Neurospora crassa OR74A: one gene and its partners. The protein of the gene in region 1 interacts with the protein of each later gene in a pairwise test. Links are inferred from orthologs where the notes say so. Each region holds a gene or a part of one and is shown on either strand. Other genes may lie near its edges. The genes, in order: NCU06929, NCU06389 and NCU04611.

Region 1 (4,192 bases):
AGCAAGCCCTTGTAACCACCGCGTCTAATAACCACGGTTTGGTTAATGGCCCGATCAGGTCCGAAGGTTCGCGGAGCTGGCATTTGCTTGCCGCTAGCAGTGGGGTTCCGCTTCAGGGCTGGGTTCATCGCACTGAGATCTGGGCCCGCAGTAGCAGTGTTGCGACCACCCTTGGCCGCGACCGTGGTGACGCTGTTAGCCCGAGTGACGAAAACACCAGCATTCTCGTTGGTGGTCGTGGTGTGAAGGAAAATGTAAGAGCGATGAATGTGAATGATCTTGCCCTGGCGTTGCTGGCCACCATATTCACGGACCACGTCGTCCAGCCTGATTTCGGAGCCGTTGCGGTCAGCAGCCACAGCGAACTTCCTCTTGGGGAGCTTGTTGGTGATTTGCGACGGCTGGACCTGTTTGGTATCGCCGTTCTGGTCTAGCACCACGACTGACTCGCGATCAACCTTAACGATGCAGCCGACAGTCGTGGCATCCAACTGCACAAGATCCAAGAGGGAGTACTGTCCAAGAGAGCCTTGGCCACCAATATCAGATGCCTCACGGAGGTCTTTGCTGAACACGGTGATCTCCGTGTTGGTCTGGTCTGTGAGGAGGGTGACTCTGTCGTCCACGATCTTGACAACCATACCAACTTCGTCACGGAACCGGCTGCCACCAATGACCTTGACGTGGTCACCAATCCTGAACCTCTTGCGCAGACCCTTGTTGGGGACGTCGATGGTCCGGCCAGCAAGATCACCCTCGGTAACCTGCAATGTGACGATGTCGCCTTGAACATTGGTGGCCTTGCCGATGACACCCTGCTGCTCGCCCTCATACACCTCGATAATATCACCAGGGACGTACGCAACACTCTTAGCGCTATCCTTGAGAGTAGCAGCAAGAGCCTTAAGATCGAGGTTCTCTGTACCGTCCTCGGCTCCACTGGCGAACTTGGTAACCTCCTCCAACGTAGGGTTGACATTCTTGACCTCGAGCTGCTGGATCTTGATGTCTTTCACCTGGAAACCGTTCTCGAAATCATCGCCGTTGTAGTTCCAGCTGTTGGTCTGCGGGTTCCCCTGGAGGTAACGGGGGTGTCTCTTGCGCGCCTCGGCTTCACTGAACAGACGCTGGGGAGGACGAGGGCCGGGCACACCGGGGCGCTTGCGCTTGCCATCGGCCTGGAAGACGGGGTCATCCCTGACACCGTAGTCGAGTCTGGGAATGAAACGGACTCTGGCCTCGAGGCCGTTTTCTGTAACGTCGATAACCTGAGCAAGATCACCGGCGTGCTTGGCCGGCTTCTTGAGACGAACCCAAGCGCCGGGCTCCAGGTTAGGCGTCTTGATGACACGCAGGAGGTCGGGCATGTCCTTGATCTCGACGAGGTGCATGTTGCTCCTGGGATAAACGTTGAGAATGCCATCGAGAGCCACGAGAATATCGTTCTGTCTTTGAGCCTCAACGTAGATGTATCCCTTCATGACCGAGTTGATACCACCACGTTCGAAAGCAGCCGTGATGGGGACCTCGTTCTTGGTGCCCATTCGCTCTTCGATACGACGCATAATCGAGAAGATGACCTCACGCTCCTTTCCTTCTTTACACCTGACGGCCCAAATGCTGGGGTCCTCGACACTGGGAAGAAGCAAGCGACGGGGCACAATGGCCATGTCTCCGTAACCTCTAGCCGGGGCGCGCTTGCCGTAGCGCTCACGCAGGATCTCTGCCTGTTTCTCAGCGTCGAGGCTGGCCTCCATCTCTCGGCGGCGGTCGAGCTCGCGGTGTCTTCTGTCATCGTTAAGGCGGCCGCTGTCGGCAATATCGTCAGGGTGGGCATTGTCGATGAAGTCCTCTATCTCTTCACCGTCGCCGACTTCGTCTTCTCCCTCGTCTTCGTCGTCAACTTCGGCTTCGATATCGAAGAAGGCAGCTCTACGGTCCTTGTTGCGACGCTTGCGACGATTGCCCTGCGGACAAAAGACAGCGGGTTAGCTAGGTCCCCGATGTGGCGACACGGGTAGGTTTGGCGGGTCATCTGCACCGGGACTTGTCTTTTGTTGTTTTTTTCTGGCAAGTGTGGATGGGATGGTGCTGCAGAATTGAAGTGTGGAGGGACATTATTGGGATCCGGACTTACACCATGAACATCATCCTCGTCTTCCTCATCTTCCTCTTCCTCTTCGTCCTCCTCTTCCTCCTCATCTATCTCCTCGTTCTCCTCTTCATCTTGCTCTTCATCCTCGTCATCGTCGTGGTGATCTCGACGCGATCGCTTGGCCGGGCGCGCGTCTTCCTCTTCGTCATGTTCCTCCTCTTCCTCTTCTTCGTCTGGTACCGGGCTACTAGCCTGCCTCACGGTCTTACCAGCGGGGCGGTGGTTGTGCGTGGTCTCTTCGTCGTTGTCGTTGTTCTCCTCGTCCGACATGTCGGCGGGGGCGGGGTTGAAGTTGTCATCGTCGGACTCGTCGTCGGCGCCGGCGAACTGCCAGCTGTTTGACGCCATTCTGAATAATTTATCTGAAAGAGAGCGGCGAGCGACAGGGGTGTCGTACAGTCGTACTACCGGCGGTCGCGCGTTGTGTCGAGGTGTGGGCGAGAGATGGAAAAGGAGAGAGGAAGGGAGAGATGGCCGTAGGTCGCGAGATGTGGGATTATATTTGTAGGTGAGAAAAGGAAGATTGGCTGGCCTCGAGCCGATGGATGATGTGGTGGGAAATGGACCGACTTTTGAGGCGTCGACTCGCTGTGAGTGTTCAGTTGCAGACTTGCAGCAGCAGCACCGCGGGTCGTGAGGCGGAAAGAGAGCTGCACGGCCCACAACTGGACAGTGAGTGGGTGGACTTGGAAGCACGGACGGTCACACCTCCACCCCCGGTTGGTTGAGGACACTGGACGGCAGGGGAGTGTGCTGCTGCTGCTGCCAAGCACTGGAATAAGCCGCTAGGCTATTCGCGGCCAAGGTCAGGTCTCCGGCCGGCAAGAGGTTCCTTTTGTTCAGGTTACATTCGACCAGGACCTTGCAGTCCAGGACGGGTACCTAGGTAGGTAGAGATACCTCATCGTCTATTCATTTGCGCACGTGGCTGAAGTACAAGTACTTTCAGCTGATAGAGTATGTAGAAGAGAGCGCTGCACCGTGATAACCTCCCTTTCGTTTGCCCTTGTCAACACCATTACTAGGCAACCTTTCATACCTAGTAAACACGGCCAAGTAAAAGTCAACTCCTGGCAGAGACAGACAGACAAAACTATCTACATGATACAGCGCTCCTCCAGGAAAAAAACAATCACCTGACCACCTCCTTATCCTTCCGGGTGACCGTCTGAATGAAGCTCTGATACTGCTCATCTTCCGCGGTCTCCATCATGATTCTAGCATTCCGCCTCGGTGGAAGCTCCCTAATCTCCGGCTTGGGTATCTGCTTGTTTGCCGTCGTCCACAACACTCCCCCCGTCCTTGCCGCCTTTGGCGCTTTCAGTTCCGCCGCCGCCGCTTCCTCCGCTCTTGATGGAGCATCAATCATCACCACCTCCTTGTCCTTGTCTTTCTCCTTCGCGTGTTGTCCCTTTCCAGACCCGGCCGCGCCGGCCCCGTCCTGCGCCTTATCTCCTTCTCCTTCGCCGTTCTCTGCCGTCTCGGTGGGTCTGGGCAGCCTCATGGCCAGTAGAACGTATTCGCTTCGTTGCATGGTATCCATGATATCGTCCATGTACCTCTTGACCTCTTCCTCCGGCGCCACTACTCTTGCCAAATTATCCAGCACATGTTTGCCACTGGGAGCCGCCGTAAACAACCTTATAGTTATGGGCTGGTAGTAATCAAGCTCCGGGTCCGCCATCGGATATACTGCTTTGCTTCCCCTCCTGATGATAAGGAATGACGCCACCACCTGCTGTTGCTGCTGTTGTTGTTGTTGCTGTCCTTGGGTACTGCTAGCGCTGCTACTGGGAATAGTCTGATAATCCAGAATGCTGAACTTCGGAAAGAGGTACCGATCACCGTTTCCTCCCGCAAACTCGAATACGATGGCCGAATAATCAGGTTGTTTGGGCGGCGGCGGGGGGCCCTTTGAACGAAGCGCCTGTTGGGCCGATGACTTGTCGGCTTTCTCTCCTTTCTCCTTTGTGGCCTTTTCGGCCTTCTCCGTCGTCTTCTTCTCCTCAGCAGCGTTGGCCTGTGAGGTCGTTCCTG
Region 2 (4,100 bases), on another chromosome or scaffold:
CCCGATAAATTACCTCGAGTCGGGTGTGAGACCCCGATAACCTGGAAGACCCCGAAAGAATAGAACGGCACCGCGGGAGAGAGCGGGAGCGGGGTGGCGTGGGAGCGGGGATACCTGAGGGGAACGCCTCTGACAGCGGAGTGCCCCTGGGAGGCCATGTTGCCGACAAGAAGGCGTCCAGCGAGACAAAGGTACGAGAAAAGGTAATTACAGGTAATTGGTGGACGTGCCCTGGGAACGCATTCAAATGGAGATAGGATCATAAGGCATGCTGTCTCCACTTTAAAATTGTCCTCCACCAGCGACTTCGCTTTGAGGTAAGGTATTTGGCTGGAGGATTGTCGCTGGCGTACTTCCAGGATCCTACTTCTTCCATCCGACCATTCCAATTGTCAGTCTGTGACTCCAGTGCTTCAATGTCTCGGAATGGAGACGTGAAGGTCATAGCCGGAATGGGGAACGGGGGAAGTGGAGCTCGAGATCCTTTGACCTAGTGTACAGTATGCAAAATATTTGTGGCAGCCGGGAGACGTGCTTTTGACCGCCCCAGAGATAGGGCGGAGGGGGTGGATCTCATCGATATAAATGTGACATGGCCTGGATTCGGGCACTGGGGGAACGAGCTGGGAGGGTAGAAGTTTAAACCCTAAAATCCCAACTTTTGCGAACGAAGCTTTCGGAAGAGCAGCCGAGGTGCGCGTGTCATGGTGTGCACTGGGTGCGTCAAAGCAGCGAAGTACCTATGCTTAATAAGACGTTCCGCGGCGCGTCCACTTTCTCTTAACATTGGTAGAACGCGCTTTCATCTCTTTCGCGGCATTGACGTCAGCATTGGTTTAGTTCATTATCAGCAAGCCAGACGGAAAACCCTCCATCGTGAAAACAGTCAGTATAGAGATAGAGTATCTTTTCATTCTGGCATCTGACTTGGACTTCCACGGGCGGCCTGACCTTCCATTTGCCCTTGTCTGCTGGCACCTGGCAGCCTAGGGGTTCCGGCGCGCTAAGCTTGATCTGGATTGTTAACAGAGATGCACGCCAAGATCCGCGCGGCAGGGTAGCTAAAGCTCGAGCCAAGCAACAAATGGCATCACAGTACCTAGAGGTACCTACGTACCGACATGTGTAACACTGAACGTCGGGCACGAAGTCACCTCACAGCACTTCGACAGGCGGTGCTTCCACCCACTTTGCACGCTTGACGGGCAGTTTCCACTTTCAACCATCCATTCAGCGAATCTGTTCGCGGCTCCCTCCCGTTCGGTCCCCGTCTCTCCCCGCGGGTCACCCACTGGTTTTCGTCAAGCGTCAACAAGACCCCGTCGCCCCATTGCCCCCGTAGCTCCGTGCCCTGCCCTTCCCCCATCAGAGGCTTCACGAGACATCCTGAACCTGGAAGCCGGTCGTCGCAACCTTGGGCCTGCAGCAGGAACGGGATTTCCCAGCGCGATTGACCCGCGATTTCATCATATCTTGCGGCAACGCCTAAGCCACTTTCTTCAATCTGACCCTGCGGCGCGCTTAGTAGTAGTCTCTACCTGGTCTCATTCAATTCAATCTCGACTTGACAGGTGCGCTTTTCCTCGTTATCGCCTTTCGCGCTTCCCAGATCGGCTGACAAGATTCCATCGCCAAGTCGCCATCTCGAGTTTTTTTTTTTTTTTTTTTCTCAAGTGCTTTTTTGTGGTTTCTTTTTTTACTCCCTCAGCTCCTAGCCATCGCGCTATTGCTCGCTACCTTCGACTTTGCTACTCCTGGTACATCTCTCTACAGTATTACCCTTGGCCCCCGGCGGATACAGATACAGGCTATCTCGACCTTTTCTTCAGCCGACCGCACAAGGCTCGACGACTTGCTGCCCGTCGGGTTATCAGAAGTTCAGAACGTCCTACCTCTACGTACCCGTAACAGCCTGGCGTGAGAGCAGCAGAACCCAAAGGCGGGACGATTCATTTTCTAAATTAATATTGGTCTATATTATCCCAATTTTCTTGCGACGTCACACCCCCCCGACGCCGCTTGCGCCAGACGCCCGTATCCCAATTTCCCCCCGAAAGTCCAGAACTTCGACTTCTCCACACTGTCAACCCGTTTCATCAGACCTCGGCCTTATCTAGCGCGATTGCTCCCGTGCGACCCTCAGCCCTCCCCCATCGCGCGCAGAATCCGGCGCGCATCGCTTCGATAAAAAGTGGCGGCACTTGCGGTTATCAGTCACGCCGGGGCCGAATTACCTCTTGAGCACCAGCATATCGATCTGTCCGACGACCTGCTCGACCACGATCAGACCGTCCCGGAGGGGGACGCCGATTCCTTGATGATGGCACACCCGGTGCCTCATCACACAACGGACAAGAAGCGCGTCAAGGTCTACGAACTCCGTAACAATGACTGGTTCGATCGCGGTACCGGCTTCTGCACCGCCCAGTTCGTCCCCGTCCAGGAGAACCAGCCAAAGGAGCCCCGCGTTATCGTCGAATCCGAAGACCACCCCGACCGGCTTCTACTCGAGACCAAGATCGTTAAAGACGATGGCTTTCAAAAACAACAAGGCGCGTTGCCCTGAACCATTACCGTCGACCCCCACCATCGCACTGCTAACTGTCTTTACAGATACCCTGATTGTATGGACCGAGAACAATGTGGATATGGCCTTGAGCTTCCAGGAAGCCGAGGGTTGCGCCATGATATGGTTGGTCCCATCTCCGCGATTCGTCAATGTATGCGCCCGTTAATCATCATGTCAGGAAATTTATTGACGGCGTCCAACAAACCTTCCACAATGTCCTGGGCGGCGCCGACGACAGTCTCTCCGAGGATCTTACTATGGATATGTCAAACTCGACTTTCACGCTCCCCCCGGCCGATCTGGCGAACCTACCCGACCTCGAGAATATCATGCGCCAGATGTCCAATACCGCTAATGGCCGCGAGATGCTGGTCAAGTCCATCATGGAGCACGACATCATACCCTCATTAGGCAACCTAGTCGAGATGGCGGAAGATCTCGAGAGCCTCGACGACCTATTTCGTCTTTGCAACATGACCAAGACGATGCTCCTCCTAAACGACACTGCAATCATTGAAAAGGCTGTTTCTGATGAATGTGTCCTCGGTGTGGTGGGTGCCCTCGAGTACGATCCCGACTTCCCGAAGCACAAGGCGAACCACCGGCAGTGGTTGAGCAACCAGACCCGTTTCAAGGAGGTGGTCAAGATTGAGGATGATACAATCCGGCGCAAGATTCAACAGACCTTCCGCTTGCTGTATCTCAAGGATGTGGTTCTGGCCCGAATCCTAGATGACCCGACCTTCTCCGTCCTCAACTCGCTCATCTTCTTCAACCAGGTTGATATCATCAACCATATCCAGACTAACGGTGGGTTCCTAAACGACCTCTTCTCGATATTCGCCGACCCCTCTGCGCAACACCTACGCAAAAAACAGGCCGTTACTTTCCTCCACGATTGCTGTGCCATCGCCAAGAATCTTCAACCACCAGCAAGGCAAAATCTGTATACCAATTTCCTTGGTCATGGTCTTGTTCGTGTCATTAACTTCGGCTTGTGTGATCACGACGTCACTGTACGAGTTCATGCTACTGATATCCTCGTGGCCATGATTGATCACGATCCCCAGATGGTTCGGCATACGATTTACCGACAGCTGCAGGAACGTCAGAAGCCTCTCACTGATGTGATCATCGACCTTCTTCTGGTTGAGGTTGATCTCGGTGTCAAGTCGCAAATGCAGGATGCCCTTCGGATTTTGCTCGATGTGGCGCCGATCATGCCGCCAGATGCAAGAGAGTATCCTCCCAACCAGCAGCGATTGAGACAGCTTCAGAGCATCGACCCGCAGCAAGAACTTCTGATACAGCACTTCTATGAAAACTCGGCCGCCAGGCTTTTTAAGCCACTGCTCGATCTCGAAGGGCAGACGGAGTTGAAGTTCCAGCCCATGCAGGAGTACATCTTCGGCTACCTGAACGACATACTCTGCTCCTTCATCCGACAACACCAACACAGGGCCAAGTACTTCCTCATCACCCACAGTCTGGCACAGCGCTTCGTTCAGTTGCTTTCATGCAAGCAAAAGCA
Region 3 (3,975 bases), on another chromosome or scaffold:
ATCTGGGGACGGCACACCGTAGTGGGGGGGAAATACAGTGCGGACTCTGAGAGAGGTCCGGACGAAGCTATTCCCAGGTACTTAGCCATACGTACTTATAAATAGACGGTGCCATCTTGCGCACAGCCTATCTCCAGTGGACCCTGTGAAGCTCTTGTAGTGTAGCTCGCTTACAGGCAAGAGATGAAGAAACTCTCTGGCACGCATGTGTCCCTGTTACCAGCAAAACAAAAGAAAAGTATCAACATGCCAATGACAGGACCATCTTCAAGTCTAACCGCAGCACAGCAAGCACAGTGCACGTCATGTTCGTACAACCCCAGAGCTCTCAAGAAGCGCGCCATGAGATGTCGAATCAAGCAAAATACCGCTGTGATTGGGCATGACCAGAACCAACAGTCGGCTGTGATCCGGATGATGCCAGGGACTTGTTCGAGATATGCGTGCCAAATGGTGGGTCTAAGCGCGGATGGCTGGGGATCATGACCCCCCGAAGAACATCTGAAACCAAAGATGCTCGGTTCAACTCAAGTGGTGAGTTCCATGATGCGCGGCATGAACGTCTCTCAGATATAGTTTAGCCATGCGGATCCCAGAGTTCAAGCATGTCGGCGACTGAACTTTGCATAAACATGCCCAATGTGCTCAACATCATAGTTAGAGCTTCCGTTGCTAGCTCCCCTCGAGGGCATGGATAGTGTCGGTTGGTGTCGGTTGGTGTCTGTACACGGCACCATATGCTCCGATGTGCACTTTACAATATTGTTTTTGTTTTTTGTTGTTCTCCTGACAGATGAACTCCAGATTGTTTGGCTGTCAAGATGTATGGTCGTGACGGTCCGAGACTGGCCTAACGAAATCTGTGAACTGTTTTCGCACGAACCCAAAGGGCGTTGTGACATCCTCGTGAGCAAAATGACAAGCACAGTAAAAGATGCCATCACAAAACATAAAGAATTCGGGACAACTGGAAGTTGGTGATGGGGCTGCTCGCCGTTCAATGTTGACGAAATGCACGGGCCAAGCCATGTGTTCTTTCTCTGTACATAACAGTTCTATGGCCTGGGCCTTGGCGAGGCTGAACGCGTTATGTGGCGCGTGGCGTAACAAGTTCAGTTGGAGGGTATGTACAGGGGCGGGTGGCCGGGCCTTGCTTGGCCCGCCGTCTTGCTCCAAAAATTCGGGTCTGGTCGACACTACACAATTGACGTGCGTGCACCGACCGACGTGACCTGGCGGCAGGCGAACCACCTAGGAGCGAGCAGCACGTACACGGCGGCAGCAGCAGCAAGCGGGCAGCCTTTCGGCCAGAAAGGTTCAGGGCAGTCGCGGTCAACTCAGACCTCCTTCAATTGCTAATCACTTCTTTTTCACCAAACGAGCTCGCTCTTCACCCAACTTCCTCCTGTATTCTTCTTTTCTTTTTTTCATCAGCACCCTAAGAGCGACTGTTGCTCCCATCGAAACGCGCTTCATTTCCAATTCCGACCCTCTTAGGCGGTCGAGACTTGTCCGAAAAGACACCTATTTACACACCAGTTTGCGCCACCCCAACCAGCCGTAACCATGAGCAACAGCATGCGCGACTTGATTGACGGCGAGGCCGAGCTCGATGACGAGGAGGATGATGAGTCCTTTGATGAGGAGGCCGGCGACCGCCCGAGAAGAAGACCCAACATTGATGATTCCAGCGAAGAGGAGGAGGACGACGAAGATGAGGAAGAGGCTAGAAAGGTATGCCGCCTCTGGCCCGATGCTGCAACATAGCTCCGGTTGGGAACAACGCTGACACACCCACCGCTCACAGATTCGCGAAGGTTTCATCGTAGACGAAGATGAAGAGGACGAGGCCGAGGATTCGGATGCGCGCGAACGCCGTAGGAGAAAGAAGCGCCGTCGTGAGCGCGAAGAGGAGGAGCAGCTCGACGAAGAAGATCTCGACCTGATTGGTGAAGCGATTCCTGAGTGGGAGCGGAAGCCACAACCCCAGGTATGTGCTCTACGGTTTCCGGTGATATCATCCAGTCGGCTCACCTTTTTCCAAGCAAACCAAGTTCAAGCGCCTGAAACGGGGTCATAGGGATGACCACCGCCCCACTGAACGTCGCGGTCTTGCCGAGATCTTTTCCGATGAGGACGAAGAGCACGATGATCGAGGCTACGGCCGTCCCAGCGGCCGGGCTCAAGCGGACGAGTTCGACGACTTCATCGAAGATGATTACCCCGAGGATGACGAAGAACGTCGACACCGCGAAGAAGATGAGGAGGTTGCTCGTCCCAAGGATAGGGGCCTCAACATCGACACAACCGGCCTCGACAAGGATGCTCTCGAGGACATGGATGCCATTTTCGGTAATGGTGAAGATTACGAATGGGCGTTGCAGCTGGAGGAAGAGCAGGAGCACGCGGAGCGAACAAAGGAAGATATCGAGTTGCAGGATGTCTTCGAACCTTCGCAGCTCAAGGAGAAGCTTCTTACCGACGAGGATAACAGGATTCGGTTCAACGACGAGCCTGAGCGCTTCCAGCTCGATCGCAAGGCTTTCAAGAATCTCCAGATGACGTCCGATCAGTTCAAGGAGGAGGCTCGGTGGATCAGCAACCTGATGCTACCCAGCAAAAATCTTTCCAGTGAGCTTCACGGTCCGTTCAACAAGGCCGTGGGCAAGGTCCTCGAATTCTTCGTTATCGACGGCGTCGAAGTTCCCTACGTTTTCCAGCACCGAAGAGACTACCTCATCCACGCCAAGAAGATGCGCAACCCGAATCGCCGTGACGATCCTGACGCTCCCGAATATACTGTTGACGCCGAGAAGCTCCTTACCCAAGATGACCTGTGGAAGGTCCTGGATCTCGACATCAGGTTCCGGTCTTTCCTGGAGAAGCGTAACGCGCTAGAACAAACTTACGACAAGCTCAAGGAAAAGACCCGGGACGATATCCTTGAAGAGATGATACGCCAAGCGCAGTCCATTGAGGAGCTCCAGGATCTCCAAGATTACCTAAACTTCCAGTATTCGGCGGAGCTGAAGGACCTTGCTGCCAACGATAATAGCGCACAGCGTGAGATTAAGAGGGCCGGTGGCAGGACAGCCCAGTTTGAACGCATCCGGCGATCCAATGCCTACAAGTTTGTCCAGGCACTCGGAATAACGCCTGATCGTCTTGCCAAGAACATTCTGCGCGAAAGCAGCAAGGTGACCTCAGAGGACGATTCAAGGCTACCAGATGACCTGGCCGACACATTGGTAGACGCCGATTTCCCGACCGGCGAGTTGGTCATCAATGCTGCTCGCCAGATGCTTGCTGAAGAAATGTTTGCCAGTCCTCGGATGCGCAAACACTTCAGGAAAAATTTCTACGGCATGGGCATTGTGAGCTGCCGTCGTACTGACAAGGGTCTACGCAAGATTGACGAAGCAAATCCTTACTACGAGGTCAAGTATCTCAAAAACATGTCTATCGCCGATCTTGCCGTTCGCCCGGAGCTCTTCCTCAAGATGATGAAGGCAGAGGAAGAAGGGCTCATCGAAATTAAAGTTTCGCTGGAGAACGACCGCGAATTTAGGCAACAACTTTTTAGTGATTTCGCCTCGGAGAACTTTAGCGAGCTTGCCGACAAGTGGAACGCGGAACGTCAAAAGGTGATCGATTTGGCCTTTGACAAGCTGGTAAAGGTTATTGTCAAGGGTGTGAAAGACTCCTTGCGGACGGCGTGCCAGGATGAGCTGCTTAAAACCTGCCGTGAGCTTTACTTCAAGAGACTGGATCAAGCCCCTTATAAGCCCAAAGGTATGGTTATTGGCACGACTCCCCGCGTGCTCACGCTATCGAATGGCATGGGCGATCCCAACCGTGAACCTGTATCCTGGGTCTCGATGGATGAGGATGGAAGGATTCTCGAACACGGTACCTTTACCAACCTAGCTCGCGATGAGAGTCAACGCGAGGCCTTGGCTGAGCTAGTCAGGCGTC

Evidence for each region.
Region 2: the proteins of NCU06929 (region 1) and NCU06389 interact in binary tests that used the Saccharomyces cerevisiae proteins (3 or more experiments, as listed by UniProt). The link is inferred for Neurospora crassa OR74A from reciprocal best matches to the Saccharomyces cerevisiae genes SPT5 and PSY2.
Region 3: the proteins of NCU06929 (region 1) and NCU04611 interact in binary tests that used the Saccharomyces cerevisiae proteins (3 or more experiments, as listed by UniProt). The link is inferred for Neurospora crassa OR74A from reciprocal best matches to the Saccharomyces cerevisiae genes SPT5 and SPT6.

Annotation. Positions count from the first base shown.
Region 1 is NC_026507.1:793,362-797,553, reverse strand, and holds the start of NCU06929 (transcription elongation factor spt-5), read right to left. Parts: upstream 2,809-4,192; 5' UTR 2,504-2,808; coding exon 2,138-2,503; intron 1,968-2,137; coding exon 1-1,967. Other genes in the region: NCU06928 (hypothetical protein), read right to left, coding at 3,288-4,192. UniProt on the Saccharomyces cerevisiae protein: The SPT4-SPT5 complex mediates both activation and inhibition of transcription elongation, and plays a role in pre-mRNA processing.
Region 2 is NC_026504.1:2,675,683-2,679,782, reverse strand, and holds the start of NCU06389 (DUF625 domain-containing protein), read left to right. Parts: upstream 1-1,291; 5' UTR 1,292-1,571; exon of another isoform or gene 1,572-1,636; 5' UTR 1,637-2,317; coding exon 2,318-2,552; intron 2,553-2,613; coding exon 2,614-2,692; intron 2,693-2,747; coding exon 2,748-4,100.
Region 3 is NC_026505.1:1,505,093-1,509,067, forward strand, and holds the start of NCU04611 (transcription elongation factor spt-6), read left to right. Parts: upstream 1-1,175; 5' UTR 1,176-1,566; coding exon 1,567-1,734; intron 1,735-1,807; coding exon 1,808-1,990; intron 1,991-2,045; coding exon 2,046-3,975. UniProt on the Saccharomyces cerevisiae protein: Histone H3-H4 chaperone that plays a role in maintenance of chromatin structure during RNA polymerase II transcription elongation thereby repressing transcription initiation from cryptic promoters.